Linked DNA regions of Stegostoma tigrinum. The protein of the gene in region 2 binds, or shares a complex with, the protein of the main gene of each other region. Links are inferred from orthologs where the notes say so. Each region holds a gene or a part of one and is shown on either strand. Other genes may lie near its edges.

Region 1 (7,222 bases), on a different chromosome or scaffold from region 2:
TTAGTAAAAAAGAAAAAGGAAACATATGTAAGGTTTAGGAAACTGAAATGAAACAAGGTCCTTGAGGAATATTAAGGAAGCAGGAAAAAACTTAAAAAAGGAATTAGGATGGCTAGAAGGTGCCACAAAATGTCCTTCGCAAGTAGGATTAAGGAGAGTTGCGAGGCATTTCATAAGAATCTTAAGAGCAAGAGGAGAATTAGGGAAAAGATAAGTCCACTTAAGGACAAAGATGGGAATTTATGTATGGAGCCAGAGGAAGTGGGATAACTACGCATCGGTATTCACTAAGGAGAAGGACATAGACAATGGTGAGATTAGAAGAGGGGTTTGTTGATATTCTGGGGTGTGTCAATATTAAGGAGGACGACGTGTTGGGTATCTTGAAAAACATTAAGATAGATAAATCCCCAAGGCCTAATGGAATCTATTCCAGGATACAGAAGGAGACAAGGGAACAGACTGCTGCGACCTTGATAGAGATCTTTGCATCCTCTTTAGTTGCAGGTGAGGTGTCAGAAGACTGGAGATTAGACAAAGTTGTTCACTTCTTTGAGAAGGGCAACAGGGATAATCTGGGAAATTATAGGCTTGTGAATCTTTCATCAGTGATAGGGAAATTATTGCAGAAGATTCTTAGGAAGAGGATTTACTCACATTTGGAGAAGAATGGATTTCGTCAGGATAGTCAATATGGCTTTTTGCAGGGGAGGTCTTACCTCACAAATCTGAGGTTTTTGAGGAAGTGACAAAGACGATTGATGAGGGTAGGGCAGTAAATGTTGTCCAAGTTGACTTTACTACAGTATTTGACAATAGTCGGACGGTACAGAAGATTACATTGCATGGGATCCATGATAAGTTAGCAAATTGGATACAAAATTGACTTGGTCACAGGAGACAGAGGGTATTTACGGAAGGATGATTTTCTGACTGGAGGTCAGATTGACACCTGAAAATGCTCACTTTCCCTCTTCTTTCCTGAAGGATCCTGCAAGGCATCAAAACTCTCTTTGAGAAGGAGCTCCATCCTTCCCAAACACCAGTTCAAACACTGACAGTCTATATGGGACAGTTAATGAGCTGGAGGAGTCGGCACCTAGCAAAATACAGTGGACAACAGTAATGACTGCTGGCAAGAGCCGACCAGGAGAGATCACGCTGGCATACTCTGTCACAGCTCTCAGGGCAAAGTTGCAAGAGGCCGAGTGAAATCACTGAGCTATGAGCTAATCCCTGACCTTTCTGGTGGCAAAGTGATGAGGCAGTGCTCCTTCTGACCAAGATGAGAGAGATAAAGAATTTAAGGGCTTGATAACTGTGGACTTCAGACAAACAACTGGATGAGGTATGAGGAGTTATGCTCAGTAGTTTCACAATGAAACCTGAGGTAAGGAATCCCTATCCAGCCTCAGTGATGTTATCTCACACTCTGCACTCCACCCTGAAAATTATGATTAGCTTCAGATAAACAGAAGCCAGGCCCTCAGTCTATAGGACGTCATGCTAACATTCTCTGCAGCTTTGGTTTAAGCTTAAAATAGCTGCCGTCCAGAGGTCAGAATGTATAATTGAGTGATTGCTCAATCAAATGGATAACAGCTTTGCTGGGCTCAATTATCCTTTGCTTTCTTCTTTTCCATAGATCAATGGAACTGAAGAGACCCAAATCTGAGGGAAGGTAGTGGCGTGACGGAAGCAGGATGCATCCTTTCTTTCAGAATTACAGCAAACCTGAGCAACTAATACTTGTCACAGGGCCAACACATGAGCTACTGAGCTGGAACAACTAGAAATTGGATCCTCATGGGCTCGAGCACTTAGGAGCATCACAACGATTCGAGCACATGCCAGCTTGCTCTGCTCACTGAAGAGAACGTCACAGGAGTTAGAAAACATTCTCGAAAGAGAAACACTACATCTGGGTAAGACAGAAATAAAACGTATTTATTATTTTTGACATTAATCAACTTGATCATAATCAGCCACCTTAGCCTTCAAAATAGTTTCACAGTTACATCTGAGTCAACATTGTCAGAATGTTTTCAATGTTCAAGGCAGAATGAGGAATTTAACAAGGGTTGTTATGCAGAAGGGGTCTGTCTACGTTCTCAGGTCGGGATATAAAGAATCCCAGGGGATCCACAGACTAGATCACAGAATCCCTACAGTGTGGAAACAGGCCCTTTGGCCCAACAAGTCCACACTGACCATCCCACTCAGATCCATCCCCTAATCTACACATCCCCGAACTCTATGGGCAATTTAGCATGGCCAATCCACCTAGCCCGCACATCTTTGGACTGTGGAGGAAACCGGAGCACCTGGAGGAAACCCACACAGACACAGGGAGATTGTGCAAACTCCACACAGAGATTCACCCGATGGAGGAGTCAAACCTGGGTCCCTAGCACTGTGAAGCAGCAGTGCTAACCACCGAGCCACTTTGACTCAATGTTGAATGTGCTGACCTTTTACATCTGGTGCTACAAAATGCTGATTTTTCAGAGTGCCTGTTTCCCAATGTGATTGCATCTTTCTCAAAGGTTTTCATCATTTGATGATGGTTCCTGTTGCTGCTGCTGCTTACTTCCTCTGCCAAAGGGAGGTCTTCCTTCAAGGCAGTGTGGAGCAATATGCTGCAGATCATGTCGATGTATAACACACAATCTGGGGGAAATTGTGCAGAGCAAACTGCTAACATTGACAATGCAGAGATTGAAATTTATTGCTTGAATGAGCTTTTATTTTGGTGCTCAATGGCCACCAATATCACACTGTCAATCATGTCCTGCATGTAAGTCAGCCATGGCTCCAGAACAATGTACTCTTTTCTGTTGAATGTTGAAGCTAATGGAGACCATGACGTACTTTTCTGGCAAACAGGACGCTAGTTATCTGCCTACTACAGCTGTGGACTGAAAACTGGCACATTAGTAGACCTTGTAGCTAATTGAAAGTAGCCAGAAAATAAAATTCAGGGTAGGTGTAACTTTGAGGACCATTGGTAGGGCATATTCACCCTTACTGATCTCAGTGACGACAATTCCTATTGTAAGAAATCATGGTGATCCATCTGAAGGGCAACCCCTTCTGCCAGTGAATCTCAGACAGGTCCAAGACATGTTGTCCGGGATGCAGCACCCTCTATTCAGTCGTCTTGATGAGCCCAGGTGCTGGGGTTCCTCATCCTCTCCTCCAGCCCTGCTGGATTGGTGAGGGGCCAAATTAAAATCATCCCATATGCAATCCCCAATATCTGTATAACCAACCTCCAATTGGAACTACACAAGGAGAATGAAAAAGATGTTCCTGAACAACATATTTCGGGTTTTCCCCCCTATATTCATACCAGGGGTGAGAGTGCAGGCAGCATTTACTGCCTATTCGGCGTCAGCCTCATTCAAACCAGACACTCAAATTCCACCATCTGCCTTGGCAGGATTCGAACACAGGTCCCCAGATTAACAGTCCAGGGATAATACCACGAGGCCACTGCCCCGCAAACGAGGTCCTGACGATGAATTTTTAATTCCGGCAGACTTCGTGTCAATCCCGCAGGATTTGCAATGCCGAGACCCGTCTGCATCTACCTCTTCGTAAGCAAGTACTGAAATACAGAGCCTTGACGTCTTCGAATCAGAATTTTAAAGAAAACAGCGCGAATGATACAGATCTGAAGTGAAAACAGAAAATGCTGCAAATGCACCGCCTATTAGTCGACGCATTTCTGACAGGAGCTTCTGCTGCCGGTGGCTAAGAATGTGAACCAGCGTCTGCTGCTGTCCGAAGCACTTCTTCACTGCTGCAGCTGCACCTTTGCCCTGCCCGCGGGACAAGCGGTCGCGCATGCGTGGTCCCTTGTCTGTGCAGGGCGCAGCCGCGGGACGGGCCAGGGCGGATTGCTCTGAGCTGCTTGTCAATCAATTTGCTGCTGGCGACAGCGGCACTTGCGTGAGTTTCTGTTGCTCCTCTCAGTCTCCACAATGGGGGTACGGCCTGGAGTCACTTACACAATCGGCATTCTTTGCATTATTTTCTTAATAGCGAGCATTGCGCTCTTAGTGACTAACGTCTTCGTTGATGTTGTCGAGAAGTACGTTAAAAAGGTAAGGCCTGGGATTTGTATTTAAAGTTATTTGTGCTGCATCTAGTTGGGGGAGGTCCGTTTTGCTCAAGCTCATTTTTGCCTGTTTGATGTTTTGGATGTCCACGGTGGTGTAACAGCAGTTGTTTTGGGTTGATATTGAGGCGTAGAATTTAACAACAGGGGCCGCTGCATCAATGAGCTACTCAACATTGTATATAAGGATACTTTTAATTGGCGTTGCTCCAAGCTTAAATAAAAGCTGTCATATAAACACTGCTGTTGTTTGTTACCAATTAAACATGTTGTACAAGAAGTCTGGAATTGAAAGTGTTTGCGGAATTGGCGACGAAGACCTGATGCCGTAGATCTTTCGTTTTGAAAAACAGAGTATAATTTAGTTAGGTGCCTCAATATTCTTTTACCTCTTATTCTACTGATGTGTCGCTTGTACAATTGAGAGTGAATGTAATATGCAGGGTTTGTGTAATTGTGACATACTGGGCTGTTGAGTCATGGTCAAGGATGACACATGGCTTTTCCACAGCAGTCCATGTTCATACTCCGGAGCCAGAAAATGTTTCTCGAATGCGCAGCGTTTTAATAAGAAAACGTGGTCGAAAAGTGGAAGGAGGAATAATGATTAGGAGAGTCTGAAGGAGGAGAATATAAGAAGAAAAGAATGTGTTTGAGAGCAGCTGAAAGCAACTACGAAAAGAGATGAAGGGGGAGGATGTACAAAAAGTCGGAATTAATTTTGATTCCTTTCCAGAAATTGTTTCTGTTTTATGTGATTTGATATTGTGGCGTGCGAGCATCTAATTGAGTTATATAGTAGGCATGTTTTAAAGTAGGATGTTAAAAAATCCTTTGATTGGATGTAGTAGAGAGAACCTAGGAAAGAATAACTGGATAACTTTGTGACTTGTGACTTGAGACTTCGATTTGCCTTTTGAAGGTACTCGCATGCAAAACATTCTCCTGCTTTTTACGTAAAGCGCTCTGATTTTAGTAAGTATGGGAACAGGAGTAGGCCATTCAGCCCAAGGAGACTTCTGCTAATCAACGAGATCATAGCTGATCTGTGGTCTAACTCCATACACCTATGTCCTTTAAGTATCTCAGTACTTGGCTCTCTTAAACTTAATATTTACATTTTTGATTGTCAGGCATTGCAGTTTTGCTAATAGCATCTCTATTTTTGTATAGATATTTAATCATAGGTCATCATAGAATCCGTACAATGTGGAAGCAGGCCATTTGGCCCATCAAGTCACACCACCCTTACAAAGAGCTTCCCATCTGGACCTATCCACGTAGCTTGCACATCCCTGGACACTATGGGCAATTTAACATGGCAAATTAACCTAGCTTGCGCAAGTTTGGACTGTGGGAGGAAACCCATGCAAACACTGAGAGAATGTGCTGACTCCACACAGACAGTCATAGAGCTTAGAACTGTAGTTGACTGAGGGTGGAATCAAGCCTAGGTCCCTGGTGTGGTGAGGCTGCAGTGCTAATCACTGAGCTGCTGTGCGTTGCCTACTTGCACTTAATGTTAATTCCAAATCCTCTACTTGTCATCTTAAGTAATATAGATCCTGTTAAATTTTCTTTGTCACCATCTTGCATTTGTTTTTAATTTTTAAATAATTAATTTCATGCTCTGGTGGATTTTGATGTTAAAAGGGACGTTTCAATAAAAGCAATGTAAGGAACAAGTGGGACGAAGGCAAAAAATTGTACCATGGGAGATTCCATAACTTAAGGTTAGGTTGCATCATCTAGGTGCAATGTCAGGAATTACTACTTCATAGTGAAATTTTTATATTTGTTTGAGTTGAGTCAAAATCAGCATTCTTTTTGCCCATTCTTAATTATCCTTGAGATGATGATGGTGTCCCAAAATGGAACTTGATTTTCTTGCCATAAAACTGTTGAGGCTATGTTAGTTTAAAAAAAATCAGAAAAAAAAATTTGATATTTGTCAGGCAGCGGTATGTTAGAATTGTGAAGTTTAGAATAATTTCTTTTGGTTTATTAATTTTTGATGGCACTTTGGCTTGAAATGTAGGGTACATGGGAGGCGACTTGCAAACTCTGTTGGTATCTGCCGGACATAAGTCAGGATAGTTTTGTTATTGGGGATCAGAGGAAGACTCGTTATATACGAAAGAAGAGATGCAATGTATTCACACACGGAGATAATGTCACCAGGTTCTGAATGTCTATAGATTAGGCTCCTAGATTCCCAAAATTCTAGAAACGTGTTTCTCAAATCTTATGTTTTGTGGTCTAAAACGGACTCTAAAGCTAAACAATATCAGAAAACTTGCATTCATTTTGCATTTTACTGACTTAAGTACTCGAGGGAGAAAGGAATGGAAAAATATGTTGATGGTTTTAAATCAAATGGAGCAGAAGTATGTTTGTGTGGAGCATAAAATGTTAGGCTCTTTGGCCTTCTACTTTCATGCTGTAACTGTGCAATGAATTCTATTATAAATGAGATTTTTTCTTATTGTACCAGTGATGCTGTGACCACATGTTTGATATCATTTAGATGTGTGGGAAAAAATAATTTTTAAGAAGTTGCAGTAGTTATCTAGGCTTGTGAAGCACTGGTGAAGGGACATGTCTTGGAAGAAACATGTCTAGAAGTCATTTGATTTATTGTATCGTGTCATATTACTGCACCACACTCCACAAACCTCACTGAAGTTAATCTTTATGGCAAAAGTGACTCATTATTGCTTTTACTTCTCAAACTGAAAGTAATTAACTTTGGTGCCTGCTTTAAAGTTGACTTATGGTTTTATTCAGTCTCCCAAGTTAAGCTGTTTCACTGGAAATACTTATGTTTGACCGATTTATCTTTTAATAAAGGCTTAAACTACCTAGACAAGTACAATAATTAGTATAGAAAGGAGTTTTTTTAATGACAGCATAAAAATAAGCAAACTCAGCTAGGTTCTTCTCAATAGCATAGCAAGATTTCATCTAAGGAGTTACAGAGCTCTGGGGATTGCATTTCTCAAATTGGTGCAGGGTCAACGGTAGTGCCACTACAATTGTTCTTTTAAAATAGGTTAGATTAAGTTTTAATTTTCTAATCATTGGTAAGCGGTAAGTGTG
Region 2 (8,252 bases):
TGCTGTGTGGGGAACTGGACGAACACAGCAGGCTAAACAGCATCAGAGGAGCAGGATGGCTGACGTTTCGGGCCAAGACCCTTCCTGCTCCTCTGATGCTGTTTAGCCTGCTGTGTTCGTCGAGCTCTATACCTTGTTATCTCAGATTCTCCAGCATCTGCAGTTCCTGCTATCTCCAGAACAATACTCTGACCCATTTTCATCCCTTCTTACACTTTGAAGGTGCTAACTTTCACTGAGGTAATGTTCCAGGCACTGGTGACACTTTGGTACATGATTCAAATAGTAATTTATCAGATGAGATTTAACAGATTTTACAATTATAATTGACAACGGGTATATTTCAAAACCTCACTTAGAGCCTTGGGTTGAAACTTGTAGAAAACAGGAAAATGTGACAGTGATCCAATAGGGAGTATCCTTGAAAAAAAATGAACTACAAACAGGAGTAGACCAACAAGCCCAATCCACTATTCACGCAGATGCAAGTGACTTGGACAGGCTAGGTGAGTGGACGGATGCATGGGAGATGCACTTTAATGTGGATAAATGTGTGGCTATACACTTTGGTGGCAAGAACAGGAAGGCAGATTACTATCTCAATGGAGTCAAGTTAGGTAAAGGGGAAACACGAGATCTAGGTGTTCTTGTACATCAGTCAATGAAAGCAAGCAAGCAGGTACAGCAGGCAGTGAAGAAAGCTAATAGCATGCTGGCCTTCATAACAAGAGGAATTGAGTACAGGGGCAAAGAGGTCCTTCGGCAGCTGTACAGGGCCCTGGTGAGACCACACCTGGAGCATTGTGTGCAGTTTCGGTCTCCAAATTTGAGGAAGGACAGTCTTGCTATTTGAGGGAGTGCAGCGTAGGTTCACGAGGCCAATTCCCGGAATGGTGGGACTATCATACGTTGAAAGATTGGAGTGACTGGCCTCGTATACTCTTGAGTTTAGAAGGATGAGAGGGGATCTGTTTGAGGTGTATAAGATTATTAAGGGATTGGACACTCTGGAGGCAGGAAGCATGTTTCCGCTGATGGGTGAGTCCAGAACCAGAGGACACAGTTTAAAAATAAGGGGTAGGCCATTTAGAACAGAGTTGAGGAAAAACTTCTTCACCCAGAGAGTGGTGGATATATGGAATGCTCTGCCCCAGAAGGCAGTGGAGGCCAACTCTCTGGATACTTTCAAGAAAGAGATGGATAGAGCTCTTAAAGATAGTGGAATCAAGGATTATGGGGATAAGGCAGGAACAGGATATTGATTGTGGATGATCATCCACGATCATAGGGCAGAATGGCCTACTCCTGCACCTATTACCTATTGTCTGATCTGATTACTCCACATTCCCACCAATCATGATAAATTTTCACATTTGCTCGACAGGAATCTATTGACATCTGCCTCAAAAATATTCAACACCTTTTGAGGGAGAACTTTAATAACTCTCAATACTCTGAGAAAAAAAAATTGTCTCTTCTCCCATCGTCCTAGATTCTTTGGAATAGGAAACATCCTCTCCACAAACACCCTTTCAAGACTCCTCAGCATCTCCCAATGATGTCTGATCTCCTGGATGAAAAGCTATCCCATATGGTTTATCTGACTGCTAGGAACAGGTTCAGGCGTGTGCAGACTGGGAAATGAGCACAAGATCATGTAACGTGCAGGATCTGCCAGCCCAGAGCAGAAGATATAATGACAATTTCTGAAAATCTGTTCATATAGGTTATGGCCATTTTCAGGTCCTGTACTGCTGAGAAATTCTGCATTCCTATTAGATCAGGTCAGATGCAACAAGTCCACAGGTTTCAATCCTCAGTATTTAATGCAATTTTTGATGCCAAGATGGATTTGGCATTGTGAACTAACATCCCAGTGAAACTAACCCTAACCCAAAGTGAGTTGGACCTACACCAGTCTACAGGAGCAGCTGAGCAGGCTAGTTTAAAAGAAACAACCTGTTTCTTGCAGACTGTTTCCAATCTGGTTGCTGAACAAGACTCAGTGCCTGCACTAATCTGTGAAACATAACTCTCAGCTCCACTTACATTACAATTCCTCACCTGAGACTGGAAGGATTGTCCAGAAAGGCAGAAAACACAAACAGAACCAAACTGTGGACATCCTGGAGGAGGAAACTGCTCCAGTTTCTCCTTGTTAGTTTCTTCAATACCTTGCTGTATCCTAATTGAACAAAAAGATACAGGGAAAAATGTTAAATATATAATCCAAATCCAGGTCTTTGATTATGTTTAATACAGAGATAGCTGGACTCTTGTTAGTAATGGGAACAAGGGTTATGATGAAAGGGCAGGAGAATAGGGTTGAGTTACATATCAGCCATGATTGAATGGTGGAGCAGACTCGACGGATGTCTTAACGGTGTAAAACTACTGTTATGGTTTTACAGTGTACAGCCAGGCATAAGGAACTACCAGGAGTAAGACTGGGCAATGTTTAGATTGACTATCCTTCATTCCTGAGTGGACTGGTAGCATTTGTTGTAAATATCACCAGGTTATTGCCCTAAAGCGTGATCTAAAAGCTTTCAGAGTGCAGTGCCTGAGCCAGTGGTGTTCTGTCAGAAGTGGCAGACTGAGGCGGCGCAGCGTAGTCAGAGGATCAGTACTGAGCAATGGGCGCCCTCAGCGCTGACCCCTCCCCTCCCCTCCCCTCCCCGACAGCGCCCGCTCCCTCGGCGCTGACCCCCCGCCGACAGCGCCCGCTCCCTCGGCGCTGTGTCTAACATTAGAACCAGTAGGAACTGCCGATGCTGGAGAATCCGAGGTAACAAGGTGTAGAGCTGGATGAACACAACAGGCCAAGCAGCATCAGAGGAGCAGGAAGGCTGACGTTTCGGGCCGAGACATCAGCTTGCCTGCTGTGTTCATCCAGCTTCCCACCGCCTCTAACATAATCGGAGCGAGACGAACCCTTCATCAGCGAGAGCCAGCCCGCCATCCCACGTGACCAAACACGGCATCACGTCCCCCACGTGACCGAGTCTGTTCGCCGCCGCTGCCTCCCACGTGATCCCCCCTCTTGCCCAGGACTGGCACTGATTTCTGTCTTGGCCGCATGGATTCTGCTGTTCAGCTCCGCCAGCGGCAGTATGGCTCGGCTCTGCCAGTACCAGGTAAGGGGCTAAGGCCGCCTGCTGTAACTCATCTCTCCTGTGGGTCTTTCGTCCCTGGCTGACGATGCTCAGGGTGCTTCGGCCTGTAGCGGTGGACTCCGCCTGGTGAAAGCCGCCCTCAATTCCAGGCCCGTATCGAGGGTTCGGGGGATGGGGGTGGACTTGCTGGCTGGGCCTGTGTTTATTGGCCTCTCTAACTGCTCCTTGCGGAAGTGCGCTAGATGTTGTCTGTTGTAATATCGGCACTCTGACAGGAAGCACCGAGGAGCTGATCGTGTTAAATAGTGCAAGGCTGCAGGAAGATAAAACACAGGGCTGAGTGCAGGGAATCCTTGTGAATGAATCTCAAAAAAATTTAACTTAGAACATTGGAGGATGGCAATTTAAGTCTAGCGAGACCCCTCCACCGTTCAATACAGTCATGGTTGAATTTCTCCTTTGCTTCATAACGCATTATCCTATTACTTATTCTGAGTAATACAGTTCTGAGGAAGGGTCCCCGGAACCGAAACATTAACAGCTTATTTTTTCTCTCCACGGATTGTGCCAGACCTGCTGAGCTTTTCCGGCAACTTCTGTTTTTGTTCCTGATTCGCAGCATCTGCAGTTCTTTCGGTTTCCAGTTAAAAATCTTTCTGCCTTCTCCTTAAAGTACTCAGTGACCTGGCATCCGATGCACTCCCCGTGACCGAATTCCATAGATCCGCCACCTCAAAAACAAATGAATAACCGTTGTAGGCGCAGCATAGATCTATTTGTGTGCTAAACACCATGTTAATACAGGTCTTAAAAACTGAAGAACTGTGGATGTTGTAAATCAGAAACAAAACCAGAAATTACAGGAAAACCTCAGCAGGTCTGGCAGCATCTGTAGAGTGAAATCAGAGTTAACGCTTCCGGCTCAGTGACTCTTTTTCAAAACATTTTTCAAAACTTATCTAAGCAATTGAGGCCATCCAGAGAAGTTCACTAGACTGATGTGAGGTCTGAAGCACTTTGTTATGAGAAGAAGTTGAGTAGACTAGCCCCAATGTGACCTTATTAGGATAGATGTGGAAAGGTTGTCTCCTCTTGACCAAATGTGTGATCCCTTATTCTGAGATCATACCATTTAAGAGAGAAATGAAGGGGAATTTCTTGAGAATTGTGAATCTGTGGAATTCCTCCCCACAAAGGCTATTGAGGCTGGATCATTAAGCATATTTGAGATTGAGGTTGACAGATTTTTAATTGGTAAGGGAATAGAGAGTTTGTGGGTGAAGAAAGCAGAAAAGTGGAGTTGTGGATTAACAGATCAGCCGTGATTTCATTGAATGGTAGAACAGAACTCTGGACTGAATGACCTACTTGTCTTCTAGTCTTACCTAACTCTCATATCACCTTATGAGTTAAGGGCGAACAGATTTCTTGAATTGCTGTAGGTAGGCTTTCAATGTGGTTAAGGATTTTGACCCAGTATCACTGAAGGAATGGGAATATATTTCCATATCAGCATGGTGGGTGAACTTGCTCGTGGTGCTCCCATGTGTCTGCTGCCCTTGTCATTCCACATGGAAGCAGTTGTGGGTTTGAAACCAGTTATGTTATACGAGGATCATATCTGTTATTTGTAATATTTGTAAATGATCTGGGTGGACATGTAGGTGGTCTGATTGCTAAGCTTGTAGACAACATGAAAATTAGTTGAGTTGTGAAAAGTAAGGAACGTTGTCAAACGATACAGCATTTCTGAAGAAGGTTCTCAGCCCAAAAGTCAGCATTCCTGCTCCTCTGCTGCTTGGCCTGCTGTGTTCATCCAGCTCTATACCTTGTTATCACAGCACAATATAGGTCAGTTGAAAAGTTGAGTGGAGTGATGGCAGATGGATTTGAACCTGGTCAAATGAATTGATACATTCTGAGAGGTCAAATGCAAGACGACAGTATACAGTAAATGGCAAGATCCTTGGGAGCATTGATATACAGAGGGATCTTGGGGTGCAAATCCATAACTCCCTGAAAGGGGCAACACAAGGGCCTCAGTAAGATAACAAGGTGTAGAGCTGGATGAACACAGCAGGCCGAGCAGGAAGGCTGATGTTTTGGGCCCGAAACGTCAGCCTTCCTGCTCCTCTGATTCTGCTTGGCCTGCTGTGTTCATCCAGCTCTACACCTTGTTATCACAGATTCTTCAGCATCTGCAGTTCCTATTATCTCTGCCTCAGTAAGAGTATGGCATGCTCCAGAAGATTATGGGCCAAATGCAGGCAAATGGGGCTACTTTAGTTTAGGATACCTGGTCAGCGTGGATGAGATGGACCGAAGAGTCTGTTTCTGTTCTGTATGACTATGCTTTCTAAGGATCTTTGGTGATTTACTTTAGTGCATCAATGCACTACTGAGTATTGGGGGGTGGAGGCAATGATTGTTTCTGGCTGTGGTGCCAATTAAGCAGGCTGCTTTGCCCTGGATGATGTCAGTTTCTTGAGTGTTACCTTTATCCAGGCAAATGACAAGTGTTCCACCACACTCCTGACTTGTGCCTTATAAATGGTGGACTGGTTTTAGGAAGATGGGAAGTGAGTTCCTCACGTAATGTTCAGTGATGATGTGCCATTGAATGTCAAGTATTAGTTGCTAGATTGGCTTGTTGGAAAAGCTCTGAACTTGGTGTAATCATCAGTGAACATCCCTACTTCCGACCTTTTGATGGCAGGAAGTCACTGAAGCAGCTGAAGGCAGTTGAGGCCTCCGCAGCATTTTTGGTAGGAGAGGAAATTGAGTGCTAAGGATGCAGCAGATTTGGGACCAAGAGTTAGAGAGGAGAATTGAGTGAGAAAAGATAAAGAAGGAAGATTTGTAGGACCAAAGAGAGCATGGTGGCAGGAGAGAAATGTTTGGGGTAGAAGATCTGGGAGCCACAAATGAGGGACGGAGAACAGAGATTGGGTTCAATGGCAGGAGATTTGGCATCCTAGGGTGGGAGGTCCAGGGTGGGCTAAGAAGGGATGTTTGGGTGCCAGTGGAGAAGAAAAGGGATATTTGGAAATTGGGTGGGAAGGATGGGGAGCTCAAGGAGCTCAGATGAGTAGGATTATGGAAAGAGAGATGAGGCGTTTTTAGTGAAGATGTTTTGTCAAGATCAGGACCTTTACTGAGACGAATGATTTATTGCTCATGCTTGGAGTTTTACTGAAGGGAGGTAATTTATTTTGAGATGTGGACAGGGAGCTTTACTTGGGGAAAGGGAGAGCGAGTAAGGTTTATCACTGAGAAATGTGGGGTGGTTTATACTCGATATTAACAGAACTAGGCCATTTACCTCTCCTTCACCATTCAATAAAATCATTTGGTCGCAGCTCCACTTTGTCTGCTTGACATAACCCGTAAAATCACTGTTGAATAAAACTCAGCTTTTGAATAAATTTAAAGACCCAAACTCCACTATCTTTTGGGAAGAGAATTCAACTCTGTTAACCCGTAAAGGTAAAGAAACTTTGCATCAGTCTTCAATAAGAGACCTGTTATTAAACTGTCATCACCCGGTACTCGTTTCTTCACCAGAAGAAACATACTATCGGTCTTCACTATAACTTCCTACAATTTTATTGGAATGTAAAATCTTGGTTCTCGTCTTTCTAAAATCCAATGGTTATCAGCCTGACCTGTGAGTGTTCCTTCACAGAATAAGCCCTTCATTCCTCAGGAATGAGTTGTGACCTTTTTCTGAACTGTTTTTAAAGCAATTGTATCCTTTACCAAAACAGGAGGTCTAAACCATAGAAGCTTTGTTTTTGAAAGGGATCATTCAATCCATTATGTCTCTGGCAACCAAGGCAAAAATAACTGGCCATCTGTCTTAGAACATATGCTGTAGGAGCAGAATTGGGCCCTTCACCTATCAAAGCTGCTCCACCGTTTGGTCATGACTAATGCGTTTCTCAACTCCATTCTGCCTGTAACCCTTAATGCCCCTACAAATCATCAACCTGTCTATTTCTGTCTAAAACACACACAAGGACTCACTGCCACAGAAGGCTGTAGAGGCAGAGTTCCACAGACTAGCCATCCTCTGGCTTAAGACATTCCACTCATCTCAGTTCTAAAGGGTCATCCTTTCAGTCTGTGGCTGTTCCTTTGGGTCCCAGTTTCTCAAATAATAGAAGTATCTTCTCACTGACCAGACTGTCTCGGTATCTCAGTAATCTGTACATTTCAAATGAGATTCCCCCTCATCTTTCTGAACTGAGTATAGACCCAGAGTCCTCACCACTTCTATGATAAACCATCATCCCCATGATCACTCTCGTTAACCACCTTTCCAACACCAGCGCTTCCTTTCTTCAGTAAGGGGCCCAAAACTGTTCATGATATTCCAAATGCAGTCTGACAAGACATAGGCCTCAGTAGTACATAGTACAGTGCATGACAGGAATGGGCCCTTGGGCCTATGATGTTGTGCTGTACATGATGCCACATTAAACAAATCTTTTCTGCCTGCCCTTGGTCTGATCCCTGCATTCCTTGCCTATTCGTGTGCTTATCTGAAGTGCCTTAAATACCCCTATCATATCTGCCTCGTCCACTACTCCTGGCAGCATGTTCCAGCCTCCTGTCACCCTCTGTGTTAAACACTTGCCCCTCACATCTCCTTTGAACCCACCTTGTCTCACCTTGAATGAATGCCCCCTAGTATTAGACATTTCAGTTCTTGAGGAAAAGGATTTTGACCCTCAACCATATCTTTTCATCTCATAATTTTACAGACTTACATCAGTTTGCGCTAATCCAGAGAAAACAGCCCGGGTTTTTCTTGCCTCTCCTTTATAGCTCATAACATCTAATCTAGGTAGCATCCTAGTAAACCTCTTCTGTACCTTCTCCAAAGCCTCCACATCCTTCTTGGCAACCAGAATTTAATCCAATACTCCAAGCATGGCCTAACTCAAGTCTTATAAAGCTGCAATATGACATCCTGTTTCCCCAATCTCAGTTCCCCAGTCAATAAACGCCAGTATGCCATACACATTTACCACCGTTTCTGCTTGCATGGTGACTTAAAGGGAGCTATGGACTTGAACCCTAAGATTTCTCTGTACATCAGTGCTGTTCAGGGTCCTGCCATTAACTGTATAC

Evidence for each region.
Region 1: the proteins of gba1 (region 2) and scarb2c are in contact, whole or in part, in a cryo-EM structure (PDB 9FJF), measured with the Homo sapiens proteins. The link is inferred for Stegostoma tigrinum from reciprocal best matches to the Homo sapiens genes GBA1 and SCARB2. Residues at the interface, in NP_000148.2 of Homo sapiens: Leu130, Asn131, Ala134, Ile169, Glu190, Lys194, Leu195, Pro430, Arg434, Ile445, Thr446, Asp448; in NP_005497.1 of Homo sapiens: Lys161, Ala162, Tyr163, Gln164, Lys181, Glu183, Leu187, Phe191, Arg192.

Annotation. Positions count from the first base shown.
Region 1 is NC_081354.1:76,366,427-76,373,648, reverse strand, and holds the start of scarb2c (lysosome membrane protein 2c), read left to right. Parts: upstream 1-3,957; 5' UTR 3,958-3,986; coding exon of another isoform or gene 3,987-4,083; coding exon 4,084-4,109; intron 4,110-4,805; exon of another isoform or gene 4,806-4,820; coding exon of another isoform or gene 4,821-4,831; intron 4,832-7,222.
Region 2 is NC_081400.1:102,667-110,918, forward strand, and holds the start of gba1 (lysosomal acid glucosylceramidase), read right to left. Parts: upstream 3,052-8,252; 5' UTR 2,935-3,051; exon of another isoform or gene 2,710-2,934; intron 2,583-2,709; exon of another isoform or gene 2,564-2,582; intron 2,558-2,563; exon of another isoform or gene 2,437-2,557; intron 2,186-2,436; 5' UTR 2,126-2,185; coding exon 2,065-2,125; intron 1-2,064. Other genes in the region: chtopa (chromatin target of PRMT1a), read left to right, coding at 3,080-3,137. UniProt on the Homo sapiens protein: Glucosylceramidase that catalyzes, within the lysosomal compartment, the hydrolysis of glucosylceramides/GlcCers (such as beta-D-glucosyl-(1<->1')-N-acylsphing-4-enine) into free ceramides (such as N-acylsphing-4-enine) and glucose.